Linked DNA regions of Lytechinus pictus. The main gene of each other region encodes a partner of the protein of the gene in region 2 in a complex. Links are inferred from orthologs where the notes say so. Each region holds a gene or a part of one and is shown on either strand. Other genes may lie near its edges.

What was found.
Region 1: the proteins of thioredoxin-like protein 4A (region 2) and polyglutamine-binding protein 1-like are in contact, whole or in part, in a crystal structure (PDB 4BWQ), measured with the Homo sapiens proteins. The link is inferred for Lytechinus pictus from reciprocal best matches to the Homo sapiens genes TXNL4A and PQBP1. Residues at the interface, in NP_006692.1 of Homo sapiens: Gly11, Trp12, Val14, Asp15, Ile18, Asp68, Phe69, Met72, Tyr73, Glu74, Met82, Phe84, Asn87, His89, Met91, Gly97, Asn98, Asn99, Asn100, Lys101, Leu129; in NP_001027553.1 of Homo sapiens: Gln241, Gln242, Arg243, Pro244, Tyr245, Pro246, Ser247, Pro248, Gly249, Val251, Leu252, Ala254, Asn255.
Region 3: thioredoxin-like protein 4A (region 2) and protein AAR2 homolog share a complex: the UniProt entries of both Homo sapiens proteins name them as parts of the U5 snRNP complex. The link is inferred for Lytechinus pictus from reciprocal best matches to the Homo sapiens genes TXNL4A and AAR2.

Annotation. Positions count from the first base shown.
Region 1 is NC_087247.1:12,957,121-12,967,438, forward strand, and holds the start of polyglutamine-binding protein 1-like, read left to right. Parts: upstream 1-5,391; 5' UTR 5,392-5,780; intron 5,781-10,318. UniProt on the Homo sapiens protein: Intrinsically disordered protein that acts as a scaffold, and which is involved in different processes, such as pre-mRNA splicing, transcription regulation, innate immunity and neuron development.
Region 2 is NC_087253.1:7,930,088-7,941,144, forward strand, and holds thioredoxin-like protein 4A, read right to left. Parts: upstream 4,301-11,057; 5' UTR 4,210-4,300; coding exon 3,781-4,209; 3' UTR 1,771-3,780; downstream 1-1,770. Other genes in the region: doublecortin domain-containing protein 1-like, read right to left, coding at 11,015-11,057. UniProt on the Homo sapiens protein: Plays a role in pre-mRNA splicing as component of the U5 snRNP and U4/U6-U5 tri-snRNP complexes that are involved in spliceosome assembly, and as component of the precatalytic spliceosome (spliceosome B complex).
Region 3 is NC_087252.1:7,316,739-7,326,995, reverse strand, and holds the start of protein AAR2 homolog, read right to left. Parts: upstream 4,912-10,257; 5' UTR 4,803-4,911; intron 1-4,802. UniProt on the Homo sapiens protein: Component of the U5 snRNP complex that is required for spliceosome assembly and for pre-mRNA splicing.

The DNA.
Region 1 (10,318 bases), on a different chromosome or scaffold from region 2:
TCAGCAAAACAACAACTAAAACCAACGTTGTTTGATTACTGAACTGATGTGAATAGTTTATTGTATAAAAACTGTTAACCTTTCTTCATATCGCATTAATCTAATTTTTACTTTCAGTTTTAGAACTCACCACCAATAACAAAAAATTTTAAAGGTGCATATTTTTTATTTCTATTGAAAACCAAGAAATTAATAATCCCTCTTCAGCAAAACTACTACTGAAACCAATGTTGTTTGATAACTGAACTGATGTGAATAGTTTATTGTATGAAAACTGTTTTTCTTTATATTATAGCATTAATCTAATTTTTACTTTCAGTTTTAGAACTCATCACCAATAAAAAAATATTTTTAAAGGTGCATATTTTCTTATTACTATTGAAAACCAAGAAATTAAAAATTCCTCTTCAGCAAAACAACAACTGAAACCAACATTGTTTGATTACTGAGCTGCAAAAAAGGTAACTAAATAGAATATAAATACCACTATAAAATGTCTCTGAAAGCCCTACAAATCAAAAATCATTTCTCATGCATGGAATTGGTTGAATAATTTATGGGGTAGTAAACCCTGACAAATAGTTTGTTTTTAAAAATACCAGAAAAAATAATAGAAAATATTGGTGAAGGTTTGAGGGACAAAAGCTAAATATTAGAATTTGAAGTTTTTTTATTTTTGTCATAACATACAAGCAGCTACCATAAATTTCAACTCTTTTAATGGTTTATTAGTAAAAATTTTCTTCTTTCAGTAGCTGGTGTGAAGTAATTTGTAGGCCTATGTTGAAATAATTATACTGAAACAATAAAAACCAATGTTTTTCTGCTATTTCTCTTTACTTTGTACCAGTATATAAACTTTTGTCGGGGTGAACTTCCCCTTTTAGGATATTTAAAATCTTTGATAGTAGCTTTCTGATATGCAATCACTAAATTTGTAAGATAAATGATCAAAGCACAGGTTTTGAAAAAAAAAACATTACCGAGTGATGCAATCACATCATCTTCGCACACAAAATTTATCTTATCGTGTTCTCTCTCTCTCTCCCTCTCTCTCTTATTATTATTATTAGTGATTAGATTCTTTTAATGTACCAAATTGAGCTTCTGTTTTCTTTATTCAACTAAGTTTGCATACAATGAAGGACAAAGACGCACAATATTTTGGTGGAGGTATTCACTTCGCTACATGACAGGTCAGATTAGTCTAATGCCAAGGACATTATTGAAAAGAGAATTAATAAGCAAATCCATTAATCCATCCACATAGATAAATCTGGAACTTGGAATCGACCTGGCGCCCTAGCTAGTGCAGATAATCTACAGATTGAGGAGCATTACTCCATCACCAACCAACCAACTAACTCAGCCTATTTTCAACTTTTTGAATGAATACTCAAGTCAATCAACCAATCAATCAGATAATCAATCAACTATCTTTATCAATATCACTAGCTACCTTCATTTTCTTATCTCAATTTGAAAATATCACAAACAAAAGGGTCTGGCTTAATTGATATCCCATCAAGAGTCAACTTAAAGTCAATAAAGAGACTCACTAACTCTAAGCCTCCGGTCTAAGCCAGAAATCATAAGACACTTGATTAAATACCACCTGTAAAAAAAAGTTTGCTTTCCTTTAAAAAAAAAGAAATAGGTTTACAGTAATAATAATAATAATAGTGACTGATATCTTATTGAGCGCACACACCGTCCAGAAACGCTCACGGCGCTAGCGCAGCATCAGTTCCTTTGGATACAAATATTTTATACATGTATATATTATAAACAACTACAAAATATAAATAGAAATAAAAATCTTAAAAATCAGGTCTAGCTAGATACCAGCTGTAAAGGTGAATCTACCTACCAGTACCACATCTGTAAAATATGAAATATTGTATAATTCAAACAATAAAAAACAAAAGAAATAGTGAGTGATGGACATCGTTGACTGTCTCGTTTTGTCACTGAGTTGTGCATATCACTGTTTTGTAAAAAATAAACGAAACTTGTCTTAAGAATGTCATAACTTTCTTATTTTACATCTGATTTTAATGAAATTTTCAGCATTATTCTTGTTTGATTTTTCTCTATTTATTTAAATCAACATTTATCTGGGGTGGACTTGACCTTTAAGTTTTATCGCTCCCTCGGACAAAAAAACAATAAAATTGTTTGATAAAAACATAGAAATTTGATATTTTCAAAAGAATACAATCTTTGCAAATTAAAACTAAAAAGACCGTAATTGAATGCAACATTGATAGTATACAGTTCAAATTCATACTTACAATTACATATACGTTGCCGCGCATTAGAATGGATTAGAATAGAAATTGATGCGCCGAATTCCATGGATGCACCCGACCTTGATCTCTACCTCCTTAAACTCCCTGGTTCAGCGAGAAGAGTTGGGGACAGTATTTGGGCTACCAAAGTTTTTGGAGAATCTCCCTGCCTGGTGCCAGCTCCTGGCGACCTGGCCCCGGTCCTGGCCATACTAGTACTAGCTGACCTGCAGATCTGTCAAATCATGGACCTATGACTATGTCACCAAGATAGATAATAATTAATAAGACCCTGACAACCAGACGGTGGAAATCATGTTTCTTAATTCTCGACCAACCACTCCAAAAATATTAGCAAACGGTCTATGACGTTCCCATCACCGAGTATCTAGCTAGCTGTCATGCATGCACTGCGCGCGGTGCTGCTGGTATACTGCACGCACGGTGTTCAAAGTCGTATTTCGGGGAATCCCGGATGGATTTATACGTGTTTGACTTTCACCTGCGGGCATTATAGTCTGCAGGCACAGACCCTGATTGAAACTTTGATCAACAAGCTAGTGGATCTCCACGCAAAGACTAGCACATATTGATACAAAACTTGCTGTTTCACCCGCTGTTTCAATTGAGGCCTTCGATCATTTCACAAGGCATTAATAGACTGCACTATCAAACTCTTAACTCGAGTGAAGGGTTTGCACAGTAGACTACGCGGACATCGCCCTTCGAGATGTGGCGGCTGCGGGGGGGGGGTAGCTTATTAATACTTGTTAGTTGTTTTTTTTTCAACATAATTAGGCATTTCATAAGGACTGTATGCGCGAAACGTGAGCTGGATTTTAGGATGATGTATTCAGACATGAGAGTCTTGAGACCGTTTGACACATATCAATCAAGGTATCTGTTTTCCCTATTTTTTGTTGTGTGGGGGGGGGGGGGGGGCGGTAGGCATTTGTTTCTGAAGAAAAAAAACTCTGTTGCATACAAATCATACAAGAGTTAGTGTTCCTATAAACTACTAGTATGCGTAAAATACCGAATTCGCTCCGCTCATTCTATTCTTACAAGAATTTGGTCATGAAAAGTCCCTATATTAAAAGAGAGTTTAACAAGTCCATTTATGAAAATGTTTGATATGTTACTTTTAAATATCTTTATAACTTTGATCATAATTCATAAACCATTTGAAACAGGCTTTGAATACACTGGCGTGTACGATGAGTTAGGCCTACTGGCGACATTGACCAAATCAATTGAATATTTCAATTATGAATTTTTCTCAAAATTTTGGATCTCCCTATATTTTCTTTCAGATATTATTCAAAATCTTTCCTTTCTGTAATATTTTCCTATTTATTTGCATAATTGTGCTATTTACATGTTTATTTAAGTTTAATGTTGCCTGTGATGGTTTCATAAAGCACCCTTTTTCCCGATGATTATGATCCCATTTTTTCGTCCTCAACCCACCATTAATCAGTGAGCAAAAATGAGTTTTCATTGAAAAAAATCTGGGATGCTTAATCCTTTTTTACTCTTATCATATTTCTTTCTCCTTTATTTCTTAAGTTTACGTTATTGATAATTTACCTTTATCATATCCTCTGTAATAATATATGCATATCATTTTTAACTACTGAGGCAACCATTTCTCCAATAATTACACACCCCTTGAAAGACGATTTTGGTCATCATTTTGTCTTCCAACTATAGAAAATTTGCTCGCTCGCTTCGCTTACTCGCTCGCATATTCATATAAACCGTGCCCTATTTATAACAACAAATCCACAGCCATCGAAAAAAAAATGGGATATGACTTTAACTGAAGGGGGTGCATGTACACGGTTGTGATACGCCCGTATGCATAGCCCTGTGAGGGTGCCCCGAAAATTTTGAATTTTCAAGTCAATATACATGTACATGTATTACTATCATTCCCCCACTGCTCGGACAGTCAGACCGGATTTACACCAGTGCTCTCAAGTTTAGGATCAATGGTGCCCCCATTTCAAATATCATCAAGTTAAATTGGCGCCCCACAAACAATTTGAACATAAAAAAATGGGATCATAATTATCGGGAGTAAGGGTGATAAATTTATGAAATCATCACAGGCCACAATATTTAACTTAAACACGGGTCGTGTGGTCCAGTGGTTAGAGCATTGGACTCATAATCGGAAGGTTGTGAGTTCGAATCCCCATACTGCCATTGTTTCTACTTTGATAAAAAGGCCCGAGAGTAATATCTGTCGTCTACAATGTCAACCACTATGACTGATTAACCTAGACGTAAAATGTTTCCTAGGTAATTGATTATATACCAGCTTGGCGTTTACCCGCCAGTAAATATGCTGTCCTGCCGAGTTCCTATAAAACGGGAGTTAGGGTCTACTACTATTCCGCCCATGATTATTTCTCTCCCCCTATCCTCCCAAATCTCTTTCTTTACTCTCCCCCTGGTTTATATTAATCCCTCTTTTTTCCAATCTCCCTTTTCCCCCTGTTTATTTCTCTTCCCTCTTCTTTTTTTCCTCGATCTTTTCCCTCTTTTTCAGTTCATTTTGGGCGATGCGGCCATTTCACCCAATCGGGGGAAGGTGGATTATACTACCACATAAAGACCTATAGCAAATAAATATAGACCAGAGATACAAATTTCTATTCGGGGAACGGGGATTTGACAAAATTCTACTCTAAGTTTCGGATTGAATACCCCACCTTTCTTTTCTTTTTTTATTATTATTTTTTTTTTATTTTTTGCAACTCAAATTTTTCTTGGCCAACCAGCTCCCTTCTCATAAAATCATTTCGAGGCCCCTGCCATTGGAAGGCCGTGGATTATACTACCAAACAGAGGAAGAAAAAAATGCACATTAATCATACTACTTTTTATGATTTGCCACCTACTGAGAAAAAAAAATAACTGGAAAAAAATCCATGATCATGAATAAAAGGAGAAAAGAAAACAAAATTGAGGAAAATAATGTAGCCTTTGTAGGTATATTCATTTTCTAAATAAGTATCTCAAAGTCTGTCACAAAATTATATGTGCTTGTTTTATTTTGGGGTCCAAATTCGCTTCCTAGCGACCAGAAGGTGGTCCGTTCTGAGAGAAGAGGAGGAGGAGGAAGAAGGAGAAGAAGAAGAAGACATTTTCGTAAAATATTTGCCCCCACGTGATGCCCCTCAAGATTATTTTAGCCCATGAATAAATGAATAAAAAATAAGCCATACTTCTTTACAAACTCTCACTCAAAATAAGATAGGGGCCCTATCATAGGGCCTATAGTTTGGATGGGAATATGGCCTGTGAGAGGGTGAATGTAGAGAGATATATACAGCTAGAGTCTACGGGAGTCGAGCTTCACTGTGCATACGCATGTGAATTGTGATGTCCTTTAATTTAATTTTGCAATTGGGTCTTTCAGAGATATCATAAATTCGCAGATGGTCTAAAACCAAAACTTTTGCCAAAAGGACTCAAAAGGTAGGTCTATTTACGATTTCACTCTCACATTTTGATTTTACAATGTACCGCCTGCAATAAATCTTGAATTTGGAAGAAATTGAATATTCAATTGAATTGCAAATATACTGAATTGCATAAACAAAGACTCTGTTGTGACTGTGTTAATATTCATTTATCTTCACTTCAGTCCCATCTATTGAATTTATCGTCATTAAGTAAGCCGCGTTCGCCAGCTCTCAATCGATCAATCAAAAAAAAAAAAAAAATGGCAATGGACAGTCACAGTAATGACAATGCGCGAACAGACGTTGGCTTTTGCTCAAAGAAGAGAAAAGCTGAGGGGAGATAGAATTAGAAAGAAGAAAAGATAGAAACTTACAGAAAAGTAGACTAGAAAAATGAGGAAGAAAAAGTTAAAATTTTAATTTAGTGTAAATTTTGAAGTTTAACTTTTTAGTTTTACTTTTAGGCTTCATTTAAAATAAGCTAGGCAGGAATCACTCACACTAGTGCAAGGTTAGTATTAGTATACTAACCTCACACAAAGAACCACGCTTGGCAGTGGATATCTATCCAGTGGGTCGCGCGTGCTGCGACGCCACATCTAGTGCACGGTGCGGTGTCCACAACATACGACTACTAAGTACTAAATTACTTTACTATGGTAGGTACGCTACTCTAGCGCGAGAGGGCGCGATTTTCGCGTCATCATTTTCGCGTACGAAAATGGCGACAAGCTGCTTCGGGAGCCGGTGCGAGCAATAACGGCAAGCCCTACTTGAGTCTCCTGTCTAGGATGGTAAACGTATATCAATGGGAATGAAAACGATGACATCATCTTCCCAATGCATTCAGCTATACTGCACGGTAAGCTCTTGCGACGGAGGGTCGAGATCGGAACAAAAATTGCACTAAAACAGTCTGTAAGTACAGTTTATGCATCAAATCATCATTATATGTTATTTTCATGGAATTATCAGACATATTACGCTAAAAATACATATGCTACTCGAAAATTGAAGTCGTAAGCTTTCATTTCTTACCTCATTCATGGCAGCATTTCTTGCCACCATTTGCCACGGACGAATGTTAAACGCCCTTGCTATTTGTTTCGTGGGATTTTCGTGGGAAGTTTGGCGACGCGTTTCGCGGGCTAATTTATGGCGGCTGCTAGGGTTTTTGGTTGCCCGCGGTGTGTAGTCCTGCGCATTGGAATTTGTGTAGCAGACCGTCTACCGTGATATGTCTGGTATTTCTTTGATTTAAAAAAACTTTTTCTTTTTTATAAATTAGGAATCGAAAACCAGACACAAATGTAGAAATCAGAAATACATCCCACACTGACACACATTCATTTTGATTGAATAAAATATTGAAAAAAAATGGCAAATGACGCAACAACTTTCTGAATCTTCTCGAACCTAATTGTAGCCTTTACTTTAGGTAATGTACTTTAGTCTTGATTTATTATTTGATGATTATATTCTGTTGAAAATTCATGTAACATGATTTCTTTTGGCCTAATCAAACTTAAATTTTTTATTATTTTAAAAATGAATGGCCTAGATCTAATTTAATTCATTATCATTTTAATTTTCTTTTGTTTTCATATTTTTATTTTCATTCAGATTAATTTCTTACCTCCATTTGAGCATGGCAATACTTACTGATCTGAAGTCGAGGGGCCCAACAATGAACAGACTTGGGCTGCATGAGCCGTCGAATATCTGTGGCTCCAAGAAAGCGTGATGGAAATGCCGCCTTAAAAAAACCAACCCCACCTCTGCCTCTGGGCTTTGTTCTTGGCGATCCTGCATTCCATTCAGACTGCAACTTTAAGCAGGAATTGTTCTACCAACTACTTAATTATTCACAAATGTGAATTGCAGCTTTTAAATTGACAAGAAAGAAACAATTGATTTATCTCACCCCCCCCCCCCAACTGTCTTCTAACATTTTCTATCACCCCAAACTAACACTTTTTTTCTTGTATGTCTGTTTAAATATTTTTATTTAGACTTTATGTAATTTTTTCATGATTTATTTAAGAAGTATGAGCAAAAAAACAAACAATTTGGCACATGCAGTAGAGAAGAGAAGGAACATAGCTTAGTGTTGAAAAAGGATACACATACAGATCTGAATATTAAAATAAATTAAAAAAAGAAATGACAAATCCACACTGACACATGAAAGTATTCATTTTATTTTTTTTCCTTGTTGGCATTGGTTACATTAATTAACTCCACATAAAAATATAAATTGGATATTTTAACAGTATTAATGAAGTTGCTCAATAAAATTTAAAATTAGGTATTCTCATTGGAGGTAATGGTTGATACAGATGGGTGGGTGGACCTGCAGCCACTAGCGTACCTATGGGGGGGGGCAGACTGCCCCCCCGACGAGTCACAACCCATGCAAGGGACGTATCCCTGCCCTCCCCCCCTGATGAGCCACCGGTGGCCCCCTCCTTTGAAGTTTAAGACCGAAAGTACGAAATCCTTTATTTGTGGTTGAAGACTTTTTTGCTTGTCAAATTTTTGGGCGGACGATTTTGCCCCCCCCCCCCCCTGTGGAAAATCCTAGGTACGCTACTGCCTGCAGCTCTATTGTTTTATTAGATTTTCATTTTTTATTGCTGGGGGGGGGTATTATGTAGAGCTGAAGCCAAATGATCTTATGAGGCAAGATTCAGTGTACAGCTCAATATGATGCATGTAAAGTGATTTATTAAACTTTTGAAATATCAATTAAGAACTGGAATGATGAATGGTATGAATATAAGAAATATATTAAATGCATGTAAAGTGATTTATTAAACTTTTGAAATATCAATTAAGAACTGGAATGATGAATGTTAAGAATATAAGAAATCTATTATATGCTAGTTCATCACAACTTTAGCTGGATCTTGCTGCAGAAAGTGCATCGTGTAGTTCTACAAATATCTCGGGTGAGAGGCAGTTTGGCAGAGCGGATGCAATGCTTCATAGGGCCCCTAACATTTCTGTGGTAAGGTCGAATCCAAACTGATGTTTTCATCAAATGATACAGCCTCCTGGCTACAAAAATTTCCTGTAGATGAAAGAGAAAACAAAATAATGAATGCAATGAAATTGGGGAAAAAGTGAGGCTAGAGGAGCAAAAACAAAAGCAAATGGTTGTAAAGTTAGTACAGGAGAGGAACAAAATGAGAAGAAAGGAACTCACAGAAAAGGAAACAAAACAGAGAGACAAACTTGAGACTAGCTCCTTTAAAAAAAGTTCTGTATGGTGTACTATGGATCTGTAAAAATATTTTAAAATTATGTAAAGTTTCAAGGATTGAGCATGCATAGGAAATCACGTAAAGGCAAGGATATCAAGTCACGAATAAAAACAAAAAATGAGGGGGGGAATGGGAATTACATCACCCCCCCCCCCACCCCGCCTCTCCAAAAAAAAAAAAAAACGACTTTAATAACTTGTCAAAACTCTATCTAGTATCAGCTTATGTTATTATCCTTTTTAATGTTATTGTTAGGGATCGAGAGAAAGGATGAACGCGGGGGGGGGGGTGCATTTTTCGGATTCATACTTTCAGGCATCAGTGTACTGAAGGGGAACATTTAACATAGGACTACAAAAAATTGCGGTGGACAGACAAGAAACAAGAAATGATGATTAAAATGAAAGAAAAAATTCTCGATCTCAAAACAACTTGAAAAAAGAAAGATGCAAAACCAAATGTTATCAACTCACTTACATATTATATTTGAAATCCATCCCAATGGTCTTCCATGTCGTAATTGTGCACTGTAATTCAGATAATCTAGTTAAAACATGTGAAATTAACTTCAAGTCTCAAATCAATCGTCTTGCACACTGTGCCTTGCAAAACAACAAAATACTCCGATATATGCGTATCATGAACGCACATGCATATTTATGAGCGCCGCGAAAATGACCAATCTCATTCACAAATGATGCGCACTTACGCTTCGTCACCATGCCGCGAGAAGCGTTTATGCGCGATGTAAAATCTCTGCCCCGAATTGGCAATCCCCGAATGCGCATGCGCGGTGGTGATTGATACTCGATGGTCGACAATTCGTTCGGAATGGATAATACTTAGAAATCATTTCTTAAAAAAATCATAACTTGAGTTATTCTTCATCATATGTCTTAATCAATGCATCATCGTAATGGGTGACACATTTTCTTTATGTTGAGGTAAGTTTCAACAGATTTGGATGAAGATTTGAATTATCAGTGGCGTACCTAACTATGGCTTGATTTTTCTGTGCGCTGTGGCATGTAATGAACCCTTGAGCAGGAATAGAGGATGAGAAGGAAAAATGAAAAGCAAGGAAAGTGAGAAACTGAGATGGGGGTGGAAGAATGAGAAAGAAAGAGAAAGTACAAGAGAGGAAAAATGAAGCCCAATATTTTTAATGGGCTTAAGCGGATTACCAAGTTTAAAGGGGAAGTCCACCCTGAAATAAGTTTGTTGTAAAAATTAGCACAAAATGTTGGTGAAGGTTTGAGGAAAATCCATTATAGATTTAGAAAGT
Region 2 (11,057 bases):
CAAATGTTTTATGTTGTCATTTCAAAGAAAGATTAAAAAATGTCCAAGGTTGGAGACTAAAGAGTGGAACTTGGAATAAAGGTAGAAATTTATTATTCTGTATAGTACAAAATAGAAACCTAATGATACTGATTATTCAAGAACTAAGTTTTATTTGTGTTATTTTGTGAGAGCCTTTTCTCATATAGGATACTTTGAAACATATAGGATAGTGAAAGAGGGAGAGGGGGGGGGGGTGCGTGACAGTCAGATAAGACTCATTGGCTATTTGAAGAGAGAGAGAGAAAGTAAAAAGGGGAAGAGAGAAAGAGGGGGTTCTGAAAGGGGGGGGGGGGGGTCGAGACCAAGGGCATAGTGGAAAGGGGGGGGGGGGTGGGTAGTGGAAATGATAGGGTGAGTGAATGAGAAGAGTGGAAAAGTGAAGGAAAAAGGAAAAGTAACAGGAGGGTTAGTGCAAAAGAGAAAGGAGGAATACTGGAAAAGAGAGGAAGGATGGGGGGGGTGAGATGATTAAAAAGGAATATGGAAATGTGAAATATAAAGAAATGGGAGACTTGTCCTCGCCACAATTTACTCGTCAAGTTTCCAATTTGAACTTCAGTCTTGAAATTCAACCTTATTTGCAAATATTCTTTACAATTACATTCTCATTCCTTGATTAATCTTTCAAACTTTCCCATGCAGCTCTCATTTTTCTCCTTCCACACATCAATTCAGTATGATTATCTTTATTACAAAGATTGGATTACCATTTAACGGTAAATTGCTGATTTGTCTACTGCCACTCATCACATGGTCTACCTTCATTTAGTCTGCCATTCCGTCCAACATTTCGTCTAACAACCGTTTGGTCGAATCATCACTCTGAGCATTTCGTCTCACAAGCAGTTGGTCTAATATCCATTTTATTTTCATTCATTTTGCCCAATTTACACTAGTCTTATTCCAATTAGACCAAACGGTATATGGACTAAATGGCTATTGGAACAACTGGCTAGTAGACAATATGGCGAGTGGACGAAATGGCAATTAGACCATGTGGATAGTGGACGATCTGATTATAATAGACCAAATGATTGTAGACAAATTGGTAATAGACCAATTGAAAATAAACCCATTAACATGTATTGTTTAGGTAGACCTTCAAACATTTCAACTTCTTCCTGATTTCTTGTGGATGTTCTGTGTTGCTCGATCTAGTCTCCTGTTCTTCTTGCTTCCCTCTCTTCGGAATGTTTCATCCACACATTTTCAGTTTCTCTTTCTCAAAAGTTTATCTTCTTCCAATTTTCCACTGCCCATTTTCTCCATCTTTCATGGGCTCCATCTTTCAAAGAGTTGTGATTGATATGGAAAGCCAGGAATCCAAAAACCTTGACAATCTGTTATAGAGGCGAGCCGCTGCCTCACAAATATGTGTGCTGCTCTGCTTGAAGAATTATGACATTGATGGATTTCCATATTTGAGATTTATCAGATTAATTACGACTCTTTGTGAGATGGGCCCCAGATCCCTCCTCATCTGGTAGCTTTCCATCTTTTTTTACCTTCTTTCCTGGGCCCTGTGACTAAGTTAAAAGCGATTAAAATGAGCTGATTCTATGATTATCATTCAATTTCATTGGCCGAGAGTAAACTTGTTATAGAAAGCATGCATTTGTTATTATAACAAGTCTTTATGAAACATTTCCAGCAAGCTTTTAACATTCACCATTCTGTTCTCATGATCTGTTCCTTACTGTTCACTTTTCTTCTTTCTTTTTTCTATCAGCCAACCTCCCCCCTTTCTTTTTTATACTGATTTTTCTCTCTTGCTGTCTTTCTTGCACTTTCTTTTCTCCATATGTATTCATCTCTCTTCAAGATTAAAGCCACAATCACATTATAAATTACCTACATGTATGACCAACTCAGATTACACATGAACATTCAGTCATTTTTTTTTTGGTTTTCTGTTTCCATATTTACTACAATGTATATAAAGAACATTCATGTTAACAAGTTCAATGTACATTTACACAGTTGTGACTTCTGAATCAATTAATCATGACCAAATAAAATCAAAGAAAAAAAAAAGTTGTAATATTAACTGCTATTCTCCGGGTATCTGAAATACTGGGAGGGGGGGGGAGGGGGTTGCACTTGTGTCAAATAATGGCCTTTTAATACTGACATGTATTCAGTAATTGGAAAGTCAGTCCCACTTTGTTGAACACAAAGAAAATGTTTGGGTACATGTACATGTAGCACAAAAATATGTTCCAGAACTTTATAAAGTTGACGTTGTCCATAACTATTAAAGAGCTTTACACCCCCTCCCCCTTTGGCTTATCAAAAATATGTCCTCTCTCATATTTTCATAATGTCTTTCACGACATCCAATCGGTGGCTTGGATTAAAGGTGGCATGGTGTCATAAAATTGTGACAATGTTGACTTCAGTGAATGAACAATCTGGTTAACAATAACTCTTCAGAAAAATATTGTAAGTTTTGAAACTTGATATGATTTTAACAACAAAATGAACAAATCTCCCTCATGTAGAAAATAAAGATCACCAGGGTCCAAGGGGAACTACATAAAAGTGTCAAGCCTCTAATAAACTATAATACTTCCCCATCCAATATTACATGTACCTGATGATATCTGGGCCGTTTTATAAAGCTGTTCGTAAAGTTATGCACAACTTTATGCATGACTGGAACACGTTCTTAGGCGCTATAAAATCCGTTCATTTAGCGCAAGAAGGGGTCACCAGTCGTGTGTAAAGTCTTATGAACAGCTTTATGAAACGGGCCCCTGTAACACAAGTTAGCGATTAATAGCTACATGTACATGAAATTACCAATCAAGACCATCGTTGCATGCGCAATTTTGCTCGGTAGACTGACTAGGAACCAATCTTTCAAGTTAGCGATTAATCGCTAACCTTTGTACTACAGCAGGCCCAGGAGTGCCATAAACTTAAACATACTACATGTACATAAATGCAAACAATGTCCGACACATAATTAAAGCTGAACGATACACAGGTGACACTACCCAAGTCAAGTGTCTTGGTAACACAGAAATCTGTTGCACTTAACACAGGAGAGACATATTTTTCATATTCAGGAGCCCATTTCATAAAGCTGTTTGTTAGTTACGAATGACTTTACGCACAACTGGTGACCTTTCTTGTGCTACACTATCCACATGTAACTGATTAAGCACCAAGGAACATGTTTCAGTCGTGCGTAAAGTTGTGCGTAACTTTATGAAACACCACCCTGGTTTGAAATTTCTGGAGTTTAATAGGCTTACTTGACTTATTGAAGGTCAAATATGGAGAATGTACTGCAGTGTATCTTGAGATAAAACCTGGGGAGCGTTTCATCATTCGAAAGGACTTGTAAGACGTTTTATCAGACAAGTACTGATTTATCCGACAGTTACTATGTTAACAGTGCCTCTCTTACGATCATAACCAAGGAAAGTTGTCGGATCCGACAACTTGTCGGACGAAAATGTTGATGAACTACTCCCCAGGTGATCGTTGCGATACTGTAAACTGTACATTTGATTCAATATGTGATAGCCCGCAACCCTACTATACAACATAAATCAACAAATTTACCAAAGCTTTGCAGTTCTGGTGTAGCTGAAAAAATAAGAAAATGTTTGAGGAATGATGTTTCGTAAAGGCATGGCACTTGCCAGTATTCATTTCCAAACCAACGTGTCCTCAATCGCTGCCATCCACAAATCCAAACTGTTGGCAACAGAGATGCGGTAGAGGACATTAATAACGGTATTTGGTAGAGTAGTCTTTGGGTGACACCACCAAACCACGTCCTTTCCTCGCGCCCCTGTACACTGTCTCCACAATATCAATAACCTCCTGTTCATCGTCTATAGCCCAGTTGATCTTATTATTGTTACCGGTACCCAGATCTATCATTATATGCTTGTTCCTGAAGAAGAACATCATCGTGCACGGGTCGTACAACTCGTACATCTTGTTAAAATCAGGCACTTTTGTGATGTCAACAAGGTACACCACAGCAAAGTTTTTCACCTTGTCGCAGATCCGGTACAACGTCTCGTCCATCTTCATACACGTCGGGTCCCAGTCGTGACCGAAGCGGATGACGACGACGCGATCCTCCTCACCTAGGATGGCCTGGTCGACCTGCCAGCCGTTGTGGAGATGGCTAAGCATGTAAGACATCTTGGCTTAGTGGTCGTCTTATTTTCTTCAGAATGCAAAGAGATTGAGGAGAGTAAACCCCCACAACGGTTCAGTTGCGAACACAGCGACTGCTTCAGAGAGAGATAGAAAATATGATTTTTGAGGGGTGAACAGCCACAGTTGATAACAGGAGTAAAGACGTCTGTCTTCAGATTATCAAGAAATTCAGGAGAGTAAACCCCCCTGCAAATTACCAAGAAGTCAAAACATGTGAAGCTGCTAGCTCAGGTTTATCTGATGATAGAACTTCCTTCAGATCAAAATCTGATCTCTGAAGCAGGTGTCATCGAGAAGAAGATATGCTTGGAAGACCTGCAAGGGAAATATCAAGAAAATATTTTAAAAGATTACACTTTTTAGCAAATAATCTAGAACGACTAATTTAAAAATAGAAAAAAATCTATGTACCTTTAATCGAAACCAGCTGTACAAGCTTTGTTCGTTTGTCAATAATACGGTCTCCCAAAGTCTAGACCTATACAATGAAAAGATTAGACACTTCAAGGACTTCGCGTAATGCTTTGCGTCGATTTGCGTGTAAAATAGTTAAGGTGCACACCTTAAAGGTCAAGTCCACCTCAGAAAAATGTTGATTTGAATCAATAGAGAAAAATCAGACAAGCACAATGCTGAAAATTTCATCAAAATCGGATGTAAAATAAGAAAGTTATGACATTTTAAAGTTTCGCTTATTTTTAACAAAATAGTTATATGAACGAGCCAGTTACATCCAAATGAGAGAGTCGGTGATGTCACTCACTCACTATTTCTTTTGTTTTTTATTGTTTGAATTATACAATATTTCAATTTTTACGAATTTGATGATTAGGACCTCCTTGCCTGAAGCACAAAATGTTAAAATAATGGAATTCAACGTGTTCAGGGAGGAATGAAACTTCATTTCACATGACAATGATGAGAAAATCAAAATATTTCATATTTCATATAATAAAATACAAAAGAAATAGTGAGTGAGTTATGTCATCAGTTCCCTCATTTGCATACGGACCGAGATGTGCATATAACTGTTTTGTGAAATGAAGCGAAACTTTAAAATGTCATAACTTTCTTATTTTACATCCGATTTTGATGAAATTTTCAGTGTTATGCTTGTTGGATTTTTTTCTTTTTATTCAAATCAAGTTTTTGTTGGGGTGGACTTGTCCTTTAAGACTAGGCACCGGTGCCTAGTCTTTCCCCAGTAGTATACTAATACTAACCTCGCAATATGTGTGAGTGGTCTTTCCCATGTCGTGTCTTTGATATGAATATAAATCGTGCGCCCTCTTTAGGCCAAAAATTGATGTTGTTGCCGTTGGACAGGCAGTTACGTCAAGAGCAAGAAAATATGAGGAACAGGGTGCTAAGAGAGGTCACCAAAGGGACTTTCGTCGATCAGTAAGTGAAATGGAACAATTTGATGATTTTAGATTTCATAATTTCATGCAATCGCATGCCATGGAAGTTGCATGCGGCATGCCTAGATTTTCCCGTGCCCAGCGGCATTAGCCAGGAGGCTTCTACTAGTTCTAGAGAGTAAAAATTATTTACAAACGTATGCTTACTCTCTACGAAGCCAGGGATTCCATCCTATTCATCTGCATGCCGCCAAAAAACTTTCGCCCCCGAGATTTATAGTTTCATTCTATAAAAAGATCTAACTTTGTTAGACCTAATCATGAAATGGGATACAACTTCATTTCCGACATTTCTACGCTATCGATTTATGAAATATGAAAAGACGGAGGAGACTTGCCCGATGTTTACGCCGCCATCTTGTTTCCTATTGTTCTTCCCCAACGTTACTGACGCACGCGTTAAAATGAAAGTTAGTATAGATCTATTACTAACCTCGCACTACTCATATACCGTCCATAGCGCTAGCGTGAGTGGAATGATTAAGACTAAGAGTAGAAAAACTAGAAATCTCGGGGGCGAAAGTTTCAGGAATTCAGGTTTTTTGGCGGTAAAAAACCTAGATCTACAATACATGCATGCAGATGAATGGAATCCCTGGCTTCGTAGAGAGTAAGCATACATTAGTAAATGAATTTTACTCTCGAGAAGCCTCCTGGCTAAGCGGCATGTCATGAACCCTTGAGTGGATCGAATCTCGACTCGAGCTCCGCAACGCAGCTCAGCCTCAGTGCCGTCTCTGGCGACTGGGCCTGCCTGAATAGCGGGGCTCTGGCAGCAGTTACCGCTAAGCAGGCCCGCTGTGCTGCGGCTCAGCTCTGATTGAAGAAGTCGAGTCCTGCGGTTGGGCTTAATATTTTTTCAACAGTGTAATACTCTCAAATTTAATGAAATAAATGGCACACATTGTAGTTTAACACTCACCCTATAATTTAAATAAATTTACAACATGATAGTTACTTACAGGTTACACAGTCAAAGTTTGGACACGGAAAAGCGATAAGTTCCCTCTTCAAGTCTTTTTATGACTATTGACTTGTGAAAATTGTTGCTACATTAACAATGATGATATGATCAGGCAGGCTGGGACGTAGATGGCGCTCGACCTCTTCAAAATCAGACGTGCTCCCTCCTTTTTTCCCCTCGTGTGGTAGCTAGGCAAAATGATCTACCCACAGGGGGGGGGGGGGGGGGGGGGGGGGGATGGGTGGGGTGAGTTACAGGTGTTCAACCCCCCCCTTCAATTTTTTTTATACCCATCTACCCATCCCTTAGAATTCAAACCTTGCTTGTCAATTTTTTGGAGGGGGTAGGAAACGACTTGTGGTGAAGACTCCCCTTCGGGGGGGGGGGGGGGGCGGGTTATCAGCATTTCATTCAGCTTGAACCCCCCCCCTTTTCAAAAATCCTGCATACGCTACTGTCCACCCATTAAAAAAAAGAAAAATAAATAACTTCTGGGAACACTTGAGTAACACAGGGGTGGATTTAGGATCTTCCAAGAGGATCGAGTAGGGCATTTTCCCCAAGGAAAATTTGACAGGCAAAAATTAAAAAAAGGTCCGCACTTGTGTACGAATGAATGACATTTATATCCCCATTAAAATAATTGCTGTTGATTCTTACAGGGTGGGGGGGGGGGGCACACTTGTGAATGCACAACATATTTCATTAAAAAATATTAACTATGACTCTAATTCTAGATCGTATCCTCTCTTTTTATTCCTTCCCATCTATTTGTTATCTCTCTCTATTTTACTCTCCCACTATATTTCAGCGGTGCCATAAAATTTGAAAATTAGTTGAGAGTGAGCTAGACTCCCGTAGGCAAAGTATATAACTTAAGTGTCAAAATGAGTAAGATCAGTAGAAATGGACGGAAATGGAACACAATTTTAGAGAGAGAATGGACGAAAACGAGTGACTCTCACTCTAAATGAGCGAGAGTTGGCAACCCTAATATTTTTTCTTCTCCCTTCCTTCCTCTCTCTTCCCTGACCCTTTCTCGCCTTTCCTGATATCCTCGATCTCTCTATTTGTTCCCCTTTCTCCCCCTCCCTACCCTCAAGGGAATACAACACACCGTTACAACAGAAGCAAGACAAAGAAGACAAGCATGTATTCCATGTGATATTCATCAAATCATTCTATTGATCATTTCTACAGAAATGATTTTAATCGAGAATTTTATCAATTCATACAACAGGACGCATTTTCATACCAATCTGATCACACTCTATACTGGTCATTTATTCCTCCTAAAACATTAGATTTCATGACTTGTCCTTGCTCATTCACCAATTCTTTTTCTGAGAAATAGGGTAAGTTGGCCGGTTGTCTGCATCCACAAATTCACAAAAGATGTATCAAATTAAATACAGGACTTTTTTTTTTACAAATATGATCTCAAAGTAGATGATTTAGAAATTGTCAATTTGAAAAATAGTGCAAAAACATCTAAATGCATATAGAGGTAATGAAATAAATCAGAAAAATGACCTGCTATCAGATAGTAAAAAAAAAGAAGAAAAAAGATCACATGCTATTACTTCTTTACAGACTGATATAATTATATATTTTCAATATCAAGGTGTTTCAAGCTTGCAATTAATGAAAAATTCTTTTATAATAAATTCTATACATTGAAATCTGCCACTGTAGTGTTAAAATTCATTATTTCAACCAAGGTTTATACCACTATATACATATCACTATCAAATTTGAGATTCATTTACAAACAAGATATACAGAGTGGAGAATGAATACACAACAGTAAATTTACATTACATTTCATGTATTGAATACAATTTTCACGACCATTGTACTAAAATAGAAAATGAGGAAGAAAATAAAACTAGCTATGATATTACTAGTTGAGTGAGAAAACATAAATCAATATAAAAAAGGTCGCATGGCATTTCTAAGAGCATGTACACGTGTAAACAGACTGAGACAACTGACAAAAAATACATTCCAACAAAAATACATAACTGGAAAATGTTAAGTTGTAGCATTGCTTACTTGCTAGACTGTGACAATTTGAGTAAAACTCACTCTTATAACTAATTTGATTGATGAAAATGAATATGAATTCAATGCAAATAAACTTAGGATATTTCGTGTGGCTGACTTGAAGATGATGTATCCTTTTCTCTCTACTTACATGTGTTTTCTGACTAATCAAATGATGGTGATAATGGTAATACTAAGATTAAATTTTCATGCTAAAATTAAAGATAAATTCCAGTTGTGGGAACGATCTCAAAATGACTTTTTACAGAATTTAATATAATGATCACCAAAGTGTCTGTTTGTATGAATAAAAAATATGTGCCAAAGGATTCTGGAAGAAATTGTGTAATTGCTGAGAAATAAGCAAAATAAGCGCAGATTCGGTCACTTCTGTCGGGTCTTTATTCCAGCAATAATAATACACTGTCCCACGTGTGCCTATCTGTGTTGGCGATCTTCAGTGTGATCGTTTTTTAGCTAGATATTATGATTTCACAAAGTTCAGTGTATGTAACTGTACCTGATCTAGATCCACAATGATATATCAATACTTTACCTTGGTTTTACAGACTTTCTCACGAAATCAGTGTTTTACGGCAACTACGTTCATTTACATGTAGCTTTAAACTGAAAATCAATGAAAATGAATGAACGGTTGATGAAAATGGAATAAGGTGAAACTTAAATGGTGACAATAATATGCATCATAATAAAACATATTTTCATTCAATGTGGTATCAAATATATACACCTACTTAAATATTCATTAACAGAATTCCCCTACTCATGGCTTAGTAATAGAAGTTTTCATTACCATCACCCTTAAATAAAATTTCTAAATGACTTCTTGCACCCAACAGAGTAGATTTGGTATTACATTCAAAAGTTTCTATCAATAAAAACATTCAACCTTTTTTAGCTCTGTCAAAGGTACAAACAAATTTTTCATTATAATAATTCTTGTTTGGCTAAGTACTAGTAGTTGATCCCTACTACAAGGTGATTCTCATCAATTTGTTTTCTAATCAATGAATGCATAATATTCAAAGTTCTTATGAAGCGTTAAGAGACGTTAGATGATATTGTGATATATAATACTAATAATAATAATATAGGGTATTTATATTGTGCACATATCCACCTTGTTAGGTGCTCAAGGCGCTCCTATATTACCCGGCTAAGCTAGGCGTTCATAGCGCACACAGCTTTTTAAGGAATTACTTCCTACCGGTACCCATTTACCTCACCTGGGTCGAGTGCAGCACATTGTGGATCAGTTTCTTACCGAAGGAAATTACGCCATGGCTGGGATTCGAACCCACGACCCTCTGTTTCAAAGTCCGAAGACTAATCCACTGGGCCACAACGCTCCACATGGCATACGAGTGCAGAATATTGTTATTATTATTCTAAACAGCAAAAAATAAGACTGGAAAACCAAACCCTTACCAAATGCCACAAGAAGACCTATTGCAATACAATTATACATATAAAAATTACAAAACATACTTGAAACGATTCATATAGCCTAGGATAGAATTTATTACACATTTTTGTAATAAGCACGCTACTATACGACATTGCACAACCAGAGGGTTTGAATCATATGACATTTACTACATATACACAGTACAATGATCACTGCCACATCCCAGATCACCATTATCAAGTACATTTATGATGGTGATAAATGTATTCACTTTGAATCTATATTTTTGTCCATTTCTCATGTATGACAACACAAACAACATTTTTTGGGGGGTCTGAAATAGGCACACACATCATCTATAATCTGATTATAATGAAATACTTGAGAAATGACATAGTTTTGAGCGGCTTTGAAAAAAAATCAAATGCTAAATTATATCTCAACTTGTGCAAAACGTAGATAATGTGTTTTTCCATGTGGAAACCCTACGATCAGTGTAAAGACAGCATTTGCAGTTACTGGAAAGTGGCTTTACCCCCAAAAATTCAGAAAACTGGATGTGTCATGTGAAAAAAAAGAGTAAGATACTGCGTTTTGCCGTAGGGGTAGTATTACTATTTAGTACATGTATGATGTCTCATGGTATTCATAATACAGTTAGGTCTGCATAAGTCAACCTTCAATCAATAAGTCAGAAAATCACTCAAGTCAAAACAATTAGGTCTTGTTTTCCCAGTAATGACTATCACAAAAGACTTGATTATTATGGCAAATTGTCATGACCATGGGTCTGTTTCATAAAACTGGTTACAATAACAAATTTGCATTAACAGTTAAAAGCTACTGAAATCCTTCAATCTGATTGGCTGATAGTGAATCTACAGAGCTTAATTCTCCGTTGTCTACTCCTCTCTCTGTTTCTCTAAATTATTTATCACCAGGAGCAGGAAGGGCCAGGGCTGGAGGTCCA
Region 3 (10,257 bases), on a different chromosome or scaffold from region 2:
CACTCTGTTCATGTTTTGTAAACAGCCATAGGCTGATCGAGGGCTTTTTACCGTGTTTAAATAAAATAAATAAATCAAAATCAATGTTTTGTAAACCATGAAAAGGATGAGTAATAGGGGGTCTTCCTACATTAATAATGCGAGCACAAAGCGCGAGCAGAAAATTTTTGATATTGTGATCTGAAACTGGATAATGATTTAAATTGAGAACAAATTGAGTATTTGAATAAACATGCGCGCGCGTGTTCCATATTTAGACCTAGAATCTAGGCATTTCTAAATACATCTTTAATCATGAAAATCATGAAACTTTGATATTCCGAGCTGAAAAAGAGTCAATTACACTTTTATATTTCAAGCACTTTGTAGGAAAATTGTAAGGTGGATATGGATCGCACTAAAAGAGCAAAAATTTTCATTATTATCACTTTGAGTTTTGACATAGGACCGGGACATCCTTAAGCGCGAGATGAAACAAAAGGGACAATTTAATTATTAAATTAATATCATATTTATTAATGCCCAATGAGGGCGCGAAATCTGATGATATTATGGCATAAAAACTGGAAATTTCACTTTGTAATTATGAATAGGCTGCATCAGTTAATATATTTTTAACCATTAATGCGAGCGCAAATCGCGAGCTAAAATTTTTGATAAACTGTCATAAAAAGGGGATTTTAAGTAGTTTGTTGTATAATCAATATTGAAACATACATAACTCGCCAATCAAAATGCCAGCTTGCAGCGCTAGCTGATACGTCTTGACAATCAGACTGACCTGAAAAGGGATATTTTGACAACTTTATAGAATACACGAAAATAATAGGTACCTGATAAATCAAAATTTGCGAGCACGCAGCGCAAGCAGCAAATGTTGATAAAATTATTCAGACCATAAAACTGACATTTTTACAGAGCACTTTTTAAAAATCAATTTGTAAATCACACAAAATAATGAAAGTTCGATTTCTGAGGTGAAATATGTTTTGTATATTGACTTCCAAACTTGATATTTGAGCTCCATATTGAACAAGATATGTAAATCACCTAACAGGCAATGCGAGCGCGAAGCGCGAGCGAAAATTTTATATAGTGGCACGAAAGATTCTTTTTATTTTCCAAGTCTTCCCCTCATTTTATTTTATGCACTCGTCGTCCTTCTCTTCTTTTTATCTTCTCTTTTCCCTCCTTTTTTTCCTTTTTCCTTCTTTCTTTCCTTTTTTTTCTTTTTTTGCTCCGCCAATAGGGGGGGGGGGGGCTCGGCCCCCCTGGATCCGCCTATGGGGACAAGGGGCGGGAAAATTTGACAAGCAAAAAAAAGGTTATCATCCCAAAAGTATGGTCATCTCGTCCCAAAATACATGTTTTATTTCGATTTAGAATGATGTATTCTTACCATCATAAAATAGTAGGGGGGACTAAGCTTGTAACCGATTTTGCAATCGGCAACCGATTCCATTCGATTTCACCACAATCGGCAATCACTTGCCGATCTTCGATCATGCCCCTTGAAGGAAAAAATCGAAAAAAAAAAATCGGCGTAGATCTGGTTACAGTGCGTGATCGCTCAGAACATATTTCAAGATTGTTTTTGAGGTGCTAGCTATTTAGAGGTCGCATTATTCAGGGAGAAAGACGCGGTATTATCTATGGCGATGTTTAAGAGGAAAGATGGTGATAGCTGATGCCGCCGTGAACTTTGAAAGGTCGTATTACCGACGGAGCTCACTGCGTTACTCTCTTACATCGTTTATGATGATATACATTTTATTTTCAACCTCGTGGTGATAGCGGATGCCGCCGTGAACTTTGAAAGGTCGTACTATTGACGGAGCTCATTGCGTTACTCTCTTACATCGTTTATGATGATTTACATTTTATTTTCAACCTCGTGGTGATAGCGGACCCCGCCGTGAACTTTTAAAGATCGTGCTACTGACGGAGCTTACTGCGTTACTCTCTTACATCGTTTATGATGATATACATTTTATTTTCAACCTCGTGGTGATAGCGGACACCGCCATAAACTTTTAAAGACTGTACTATTGACGGAGCTTATTGAGTTACTCTCTTACATCGTTTATGATGATATACATTTTATTTTCAACCTCGTGGTGATAGCGGATGCCGCCGTGAACTTTGAAAGGTCGTACTACTGACGGAGCTCATTGCGTTACTCTCTTACATCGTTTATGATGATTTACATTTTATTTTCAACCTCGTGGTGATAGCGGACCCCGCCGTGAACTTTGAAAGATCGTGCTACTGACGGAGCTTATTGCGTTACTCTCTTACATCGTTTATGATGATATACATTTTATTTTCAACCTCGTGGTGATAGCGGATGCCGCCGTGAACTTTGAAAGATCGTGCTACCGACGGAGCTCACTGCGCTACTCTCTTACATCGTTTATGATGATATACATTTTATTTTCAACCTCGTGGTGATAGCGGATGCCGCCGTGAACTTTGAAAGGTCGTACTATTGACGGAGCTCATTGCGTTACTCTCTTACATCGTTTATGATGATTTACATTTTATTTTCAACCTCGTGGTGATAGCGGATGCCGCCGTGAACTTTGAAAGGTCGTACTATTGACGGAGCTCATTGCGTTACTCTCTTACATCGTTTATGATGATATACATTTTATTTTCAACCTCGTGGTGATAGCGGACCCCGCCGTGAACTTTTAAAGGTCGTACTATTGACGGAGCTCATTGCGTTACTCTCTTACATCGTTTATGATGATATACATTTTATTTTCAACCTCGTGGTGATAGCGGACCCCGCCGTGAACTTTTAAAGATCGTATTACCGACGGAGCTCACTGCGTTACTCTCTTACATCGTTTATGATGATATACATTTTATTTTCAACCTCGTGGTGATAGCGGATGCCGCCGTGAACTTTGAAAGGTCGTACTATTGACGGAGCTCATTGCGTTAAGTACTCTCTTACATCGTTTATGATGATTTACATTTTATTTTCAACCTCGTGGTGATAGCGGATGCCGCCGTGAACTTTGAAAGGTCGTACTATTGACGGAGCTCATTGCGTTACTCTCTTACATCGTTTATAATGATATAAATCTTCTCTTCAACCTCGTGGTGATAGCGGACCCCGCCATAAACTTTTAAAGACTGTACTATTGACGGAGCTTATTGCGTTACTCTCTTACATCGTTTATGATGATATACATTTTATTTTCAATCTAGTGGTGATAGCGGATGCCGCCGTGAACTTTGAAAGGTTGTATTACCGACGGAGCTCACTGCGCTACTCTCTTATCCCCTTTATGATGATAGACATCTTCTCTTCAACCTCGTGGTGATAGCGGACCCCGCCGTGAACTTCAAATTGATTTGAAAACGCTAGCTACCCAAAACATTTAAATAACATATTTCAAATCATCGTGCGTGCTTGCGTCTTCTACTACATTTTAATTGCACTTGCGACTTTAAGATGATGCGTCGTAAGAGATCATTCCAATAATTCTAAATCGCTAGCACCTAAAAATACTTCTAAAAGATGTCCCGCCGATCGTTCATTAACCTGTGATCTATGAGAAATATTTTCATTTTATTTTCCTTTGCGCCTTTGCTCGGAAGATGCGTCTTTCGTTTATCTTTCTAATAAAAATCACTCGGTTTATTTTAAAGCAATAACACCTCAAAACCCCTGGCTTTAAAACACGTTCCAAACGATCGCGCATGTTGGCGACTTCCATTCCAATAATGCATTCGTCTTTGTGACTTTGTCAGGAAGATGCGCGCGACCGCGAACAACATTTTGATGTATTCCTTTGTTTTTAAACATCGCCGATTCGATTTTCGATTCGATTTCGATTTTAGAAGCTTAACTGCCGATCCGATTTTCGATCTGATTTTTGATCCGATTTACAACATTAGGGGGGACATTTGATATTGTGTCCCCCCTACTATTTTGAGTAGGGGGGACACGTCCCCCCTGTCCCCCCTGGGATTTCCGCCCATGACCATGCCATGGCGCGCCACACACTCATTTCTGTCTTCAACATTTCTTTCAAGTTTCAGTCCAGCTTCAAATGCCTGCAAATTTTCATCTTATTCAAAATAATTACATGAAAATTAAGACCATTTTAGCCCCACGAGTTTTATTGGGTCAACGATCTTGGGCTCAGATCTGCCGCCATCGAACTCCTTAACGTTACTCATTCTCTAACACTACAGTAGTACAGTTAACGTTAGACAGCTGGCAGCCGTCTGTTTCGCGGAGTTTTTCAACATTTTTTGATTTTTTTAATTTCTCCTCATACACATATGTATTTGGTGAGTGGAGCCAACGTAGTTCAGCGTAACAACCAACATAACAGAGACCGAAGCTTTTGGTCTAAGTTAACGTTAACAATACTTGGCCAAAGCCACCCAAGGGTTCATTACATGCCGCCGCGCACAGAAAATTCAAGCCATAGAAGTCGTGTGTTGTGGACCCAAGAAGTGAGATCCCAGCACGTGCGACCCACAAGTTAGAAATCCACTGCCAAACGCGGTTCGTGGTGCGAGGTTAGTATACTAATACTAACCTCGCAATACGTGTGAGTGGGCCAAAGCCAAGGCAAAGGCAAAGCTAAACCAGGTCTCCGTCTGCAACAAACACAGAAGTGTACAAATGGGACTACGACTTATCTCAGCATAAAATAGTTCTTACTTTTACGGCTCTATGTATTGAGACAAGTCACAGATCATGAAAATATATTTAGACAATGCCTATTCATTACAATTCCTAATTATTGTAAAACCAAACGCTTTTAATTACTTACCAGTGTAATATAGTGATAAGGATCTGAAAAAAAAAATCGTCTGCCAAATGATGTGAAATTATATACAGTAGCCGGTTGCGCGGTTCGGTTCTTAACTTGCCAAACGGTAGTTGGCGCTAGAGCAGAAGTCGACAAAGGTTAACATTGAGTTTGACGTTGGCTAACGTTAGTTTTTCTTTTGTATTGCCGAACGTTAGAATGTTTTTGGGGGTCTTTATATTTATCATTGTTGTTATAAATGTAAGTTTTAATAATTGGGAAGACATCGATGGTTTGATGGAAGGGAAATGGATATCAAAGCGTATAGCTATCTCTTCAAGAACAATTTTTTTTTAGTTTGTGTTTTGTTTTCTTTCAAGAAAACATGGTAATGATAAAAATAACATAGGGCCTATATAGTCATCACCACTCCTCCACAACCAGTATATCTTTTTTATTTCTTCTTTTTGTTATCTACTGGAAATTTGTTAAGGAATATAATGCTGATTATTTTCAAACATATATTTATTTTTAACTTTTGGGAATAAATACAATTATATTGGCATCACCCTACAACTGAATGGATTAGGCCTTTATGATACTCTGCCCCATCATATTTTCATGTTTATATCATGTTTTCCTCATCATATCCATTCACAGTAGGTAACCATCATCATCATCATGTTCATGATGATGATGATGATGATGATCATCATCATCACCACCACCATCACCATCTTCTTCTTCCTCCTCCTCCTCATCATCATCATCATCATCACCACCATCACCATCATTTTCCTCCTCATCATTATTATTCACCACCACAGCAGCATCATCACCATCATTTTCACCACCGTCGACCACTGTGACCATCATCATCATCATCATCCTTCTCTTCCTCATCCTCATCATTATTCACCACCACAGCAGCATCATCACCATCATTTTCACCACCGTCGACCACTGTGACCATCACCATCATCATCATCCTTCTCTTCCTCATCACCATCACCATCTTCTTCCTCCTCCTCATCCTCATCATTATTCACCACCACAGCAGCATCATCACCATCATTTTTACCACCGTCGACCACTGTGACCATCACCGCCATCATCATCATCATCACCACCACCACTATGATCTATCACCATTATTAGCTTCATCATCTTCATTATCATATCTTCATATCCTTATTTCTTTATATCTTACACAAACAACAAAATAGGTGACACACTTAAAACATTTTATTGGCTTAGAACACTTTATTCCAAATATGAACAGTGAAATGATCAGCAATAATTAGCAGTTCTAAAACAACTTGAAATTTGAATTACATAAAGATGAGAATAAAAACTTACAGACCAGAGTAAATATCGAGTCCTGAAGATATACCACTGAGAACTATGTATGAAATCAATTTCATTACCATGCTTACTTTCTCATTCTGTTAGCTCCTTTTTTTCTACAAAAATGAAATGTGTGCATGCCGACTGCATTAATGTTCTGCAAAGATCTCAGTGTTTCTAAAAAACATCACCTCTAAATTCTAATGTGACCCATATGTCTCTTCATGTTTGGTGCCTTGTATTAAAATTCATTCAATATTAATTTGACTTCCATCATTTAAGAAACTGCCTATGACTTCTGAAGTACATTTTTGTTATATTCTTTTGATAACAGCTCACATGGGTCATATTCTCCCCCAAAACAATAATTTTATTTGGGGGAGTGTTGACATATTTTGTACTCAAATTAATTCCACTGTAAATTTGCAATCAATGATTTAACTTTTAACAAAAGCTAAGAAGAAGATACTTGCAGTTACAAGAAACAAACCACTAATAAACTACAATTTTGCAATCAATCGCAAGACTTATCACTGATTGAACTACAATAAAAATAAAAAAACTTGAGCGAGGAAGAAATATTAAAGAAAGGTACTAACAAAAAGGGAAAGAGAAATAGAGGGGATATCAATATTGTTCAACTTAAAAACAAAATACAATTAATGGTTTTTGCAAGAGCAATGGACATGACTTAGTCTTTAAACTTAGTCTTCTCTTATCTTCTTATATGCAATGATATATATATATAGTTAGCGTATCCAGCATCAGCAATGACCAAGAAATGTATGGGCCCATGCACAAGCATAATAGAGTCACTATTGTCCCCAGACAATTGGGCCCATGAAATGCTTTGTAGGATCTGATGCTGGATACATGCCTGGTATCCAAATGTTTGCTATACAATCAAATATGTACAAGAAATGCACAAATAAAATAATGTACAATTTGATAGACCCCATAAGCTAGGGGAATGTCACATTGCGTTCTGTACACCATCCATAATTATCAAACTTCAAGCACCTCATGGCCATACGCAGCGGGGGGGGGGGGGGGGGGGGGCAAACTTTCATTTTTTAACTGAAAATTCACCAAAAGTACATGTATGCACAAATCCTTCTATTTCATTTAACAGAATGCAGAGGCGCCCCAATGACAAGCTCAGTCGCTTTGCTCTCTCGAATTAAGTTTATTTCATTGAAAAAGCCAAAAAATTCTGCTTACGGCCATGAGCATCTTAGCAAAAAATCATTCTTTGATACTTAATGACACTTATTATTAAAGATAATAATAATATTACCAGCATGCTTAATATATAGCGCATATCACTGCCAAATGCGTCCCTATGCGCTTAATTGGATATTATTACCCTGGCTATAGCCCCACAGCCTATTACAGAACGGTGGCATTTCAAGGAATAAATTCCTGCCAAGTACCCATTTACCTCACCTGGGTGGAGTGCAGCACAATGTGGATAAATTTATAGATGTGATACGTACAATTAATGTTCAAATAATAGTAGCTTGTGCAATCTGACCCAAGAGGGGCATGTCACATTGCGTGCTTTACATCATCCAAGCTTGATAGTTTTGGAAAAGCACCTTTCACGAGGAAATTTCATTCTTTGAAGCTACAACCTCCCTGTTCTGCAGAATCCGAGGTACATGTAACATTGAATGGCAACAGATGGCAGTCTACTCATTAAAAGTAGAATTTTTTTTTTTTAGGGTTGACTAAATTACAGTTTATGTCACACTATTCTGATATTGAGTCAATCAATTTCTCAAGTCTGAGTACTTCAACTCAGAATATATTCATCTTGGAATCCATTCCAAGTCATATTTGATTCCACTAAAATGAATGAGTACACATGGAATTTCATACAATACACACTGAACTCAATGTCCAAAATATTAAGAACAGTATTAAACAGGAAGTTTCCTGAATTATTCTACTTCTTTATACAGCTAACTCATAACATGCCTGCAAGGTTAGGATTATTACTTTTTAGGGGCCATTCTCCCCCCCCCCACAATGGTGCAATTGCTGAATTTTTTTAGTATTTGAGAAACCACATACACTTTCATGTACAATGAGCAAGATTCTATGGACCCATCCAGACTCAGGGTGGAAAGCAGTTGTGCGGCCGAGCAAAGAACGGCGATTGACTAATTTATACCAAAGAAGTGTACATTTTAAAGACCCCCGGTGTAGACCATTACACCCACTAAAGGGATGCCTTTCAATTACAATATGTGTAATATTGGTATTACTGCTCATGCATATCATTTGTCGGTATGTTATTATTATAACATCTTTTTTTTTCCTTGATGATGATTTCCACACTAGATCTGAATGGGTTTTTATGGTAAAAGCTGCAAGTACATGTATCTATTCATTTAAAGAATAAAATTGACAGGTAGATCAAAGGAAAAGGTAGCAAAGAGAAAGAGAGAGAAAGAAAGAAACAGAAATAGCTGAGAACAGACAGTGAATAAAGAGGGAGAAGGGGGAAAAGAGGGAGAGAAAGAGAGAGAGAATGAATTAGCAATGTCAAGACAAAATTTTATCAACTCACAACTACATATGGTATACAGAACAAGCATATAAATATAATTTGTTCATTAATGTACATTATCACTTTATTGAAATCATACCTTATATCTACAAAAACAAAACATTGTGAACCATTTTAAATAAAAGATGGGTGCATCATCACTTCTACAGTTCAAATCATGTCAGGAATAGATTCAATCATCACCAAGAAGTAATTGGGCACCATTCAAAGATTAACAAATTGCTTTATAAGTGAAATAATTGATAGGCAACTGCTATTACATTTATTCTCTGAAAGTCCTGAAACCTTTTAGATATTTCTTACTTTGCAAAAAATATGGATGCAATAAATGGTTGCAAAACAAACATGCTCTTTCAAAATACATTCTGAGTAGACTAGTAGAAACATAGCAACAAAAGTTTGATATTCTTATTTAAAAGCTAATTATGAATAAAAAGGTACTTGAGAAGGTCTCCGTTCATAATCTGTGCAATCATATTCCATGAAAGTCGCCATAGCAATAATAGATCACTGACTTTAATAACTTGAAAATAAATTGAAAACAATGATTTTCTCGGAAACTGCATTCTTTCAGCTCAAGCAGTATGCCACTCAAGTTTAATAAAAGTAGAGACAGTGATTTTCCGTTTAAAAAAAAATTGTATTTTCCGTTTCAACTTGATCTAAAAATGGAAATTTTGTTTTGTCGCTGAAAATGTACACAGCAAAAACGTGAATTCCGTTTTGCTAAGGTGAATTCCATTAATTTTTACATGAAAAGTATAAGAATCAAACAGAATTTCTGTTTTATTTACAGAATTTCTGTTTTATTTACCGGTAAAACGGAAAATCTCTGTCTCTATAAAAGGTGCGCACTAAGACATTTGTGAGGAGTAACAGAATTTTTACAGAAAATATTGATTATTAGATAAGTACATTAGTAGGTAACAACTAGAATAATAATATATAATAAACATCATCTAGATTTAATACGAAATCTAGATAACAACAAGATAAAAAATTTGAAAATTCTATGTCTGATTATAAGGAAGATTATTTCCCTTTAACAAACATATAAATATAACTCCAAGGTCCTAAAATGTAAGATGAGTTAAATGTGTAATTTTGTTGAAGAGTTAACATTTTTATTATAAACCAAGGAAACTATCTGAAAATCCATCTACAAATAACTTCACGCATCTAGACATGCCTCTCAATATCACATTGAGAAATTCTAACTCTGACCTTGGTCTAAACTTACAGCGAGTTTCCAACAAAAATTGTTTGTAAGTTCAAAACGTGAAAACAAACTCCACTTCAGTTTCAATACAATTCCTGAAAAATATAACATCTTCACAATGCTGTTTCGTAAAAGAAAATAATCAGCATGGAAAAGCAATCTTTTCTTACCAATTTTAAGAAGAAAAAAATATTTACATATGGCATTTTGCACCCATTTGGTTGGCCGAAGTAACTGCTTCAACCATACATTCTACAGTATCAAAAAACAAGGAATAGATAACAATATTTATAGACGAAATGGATACAACTTACACAGTTAATACATCTTCAATG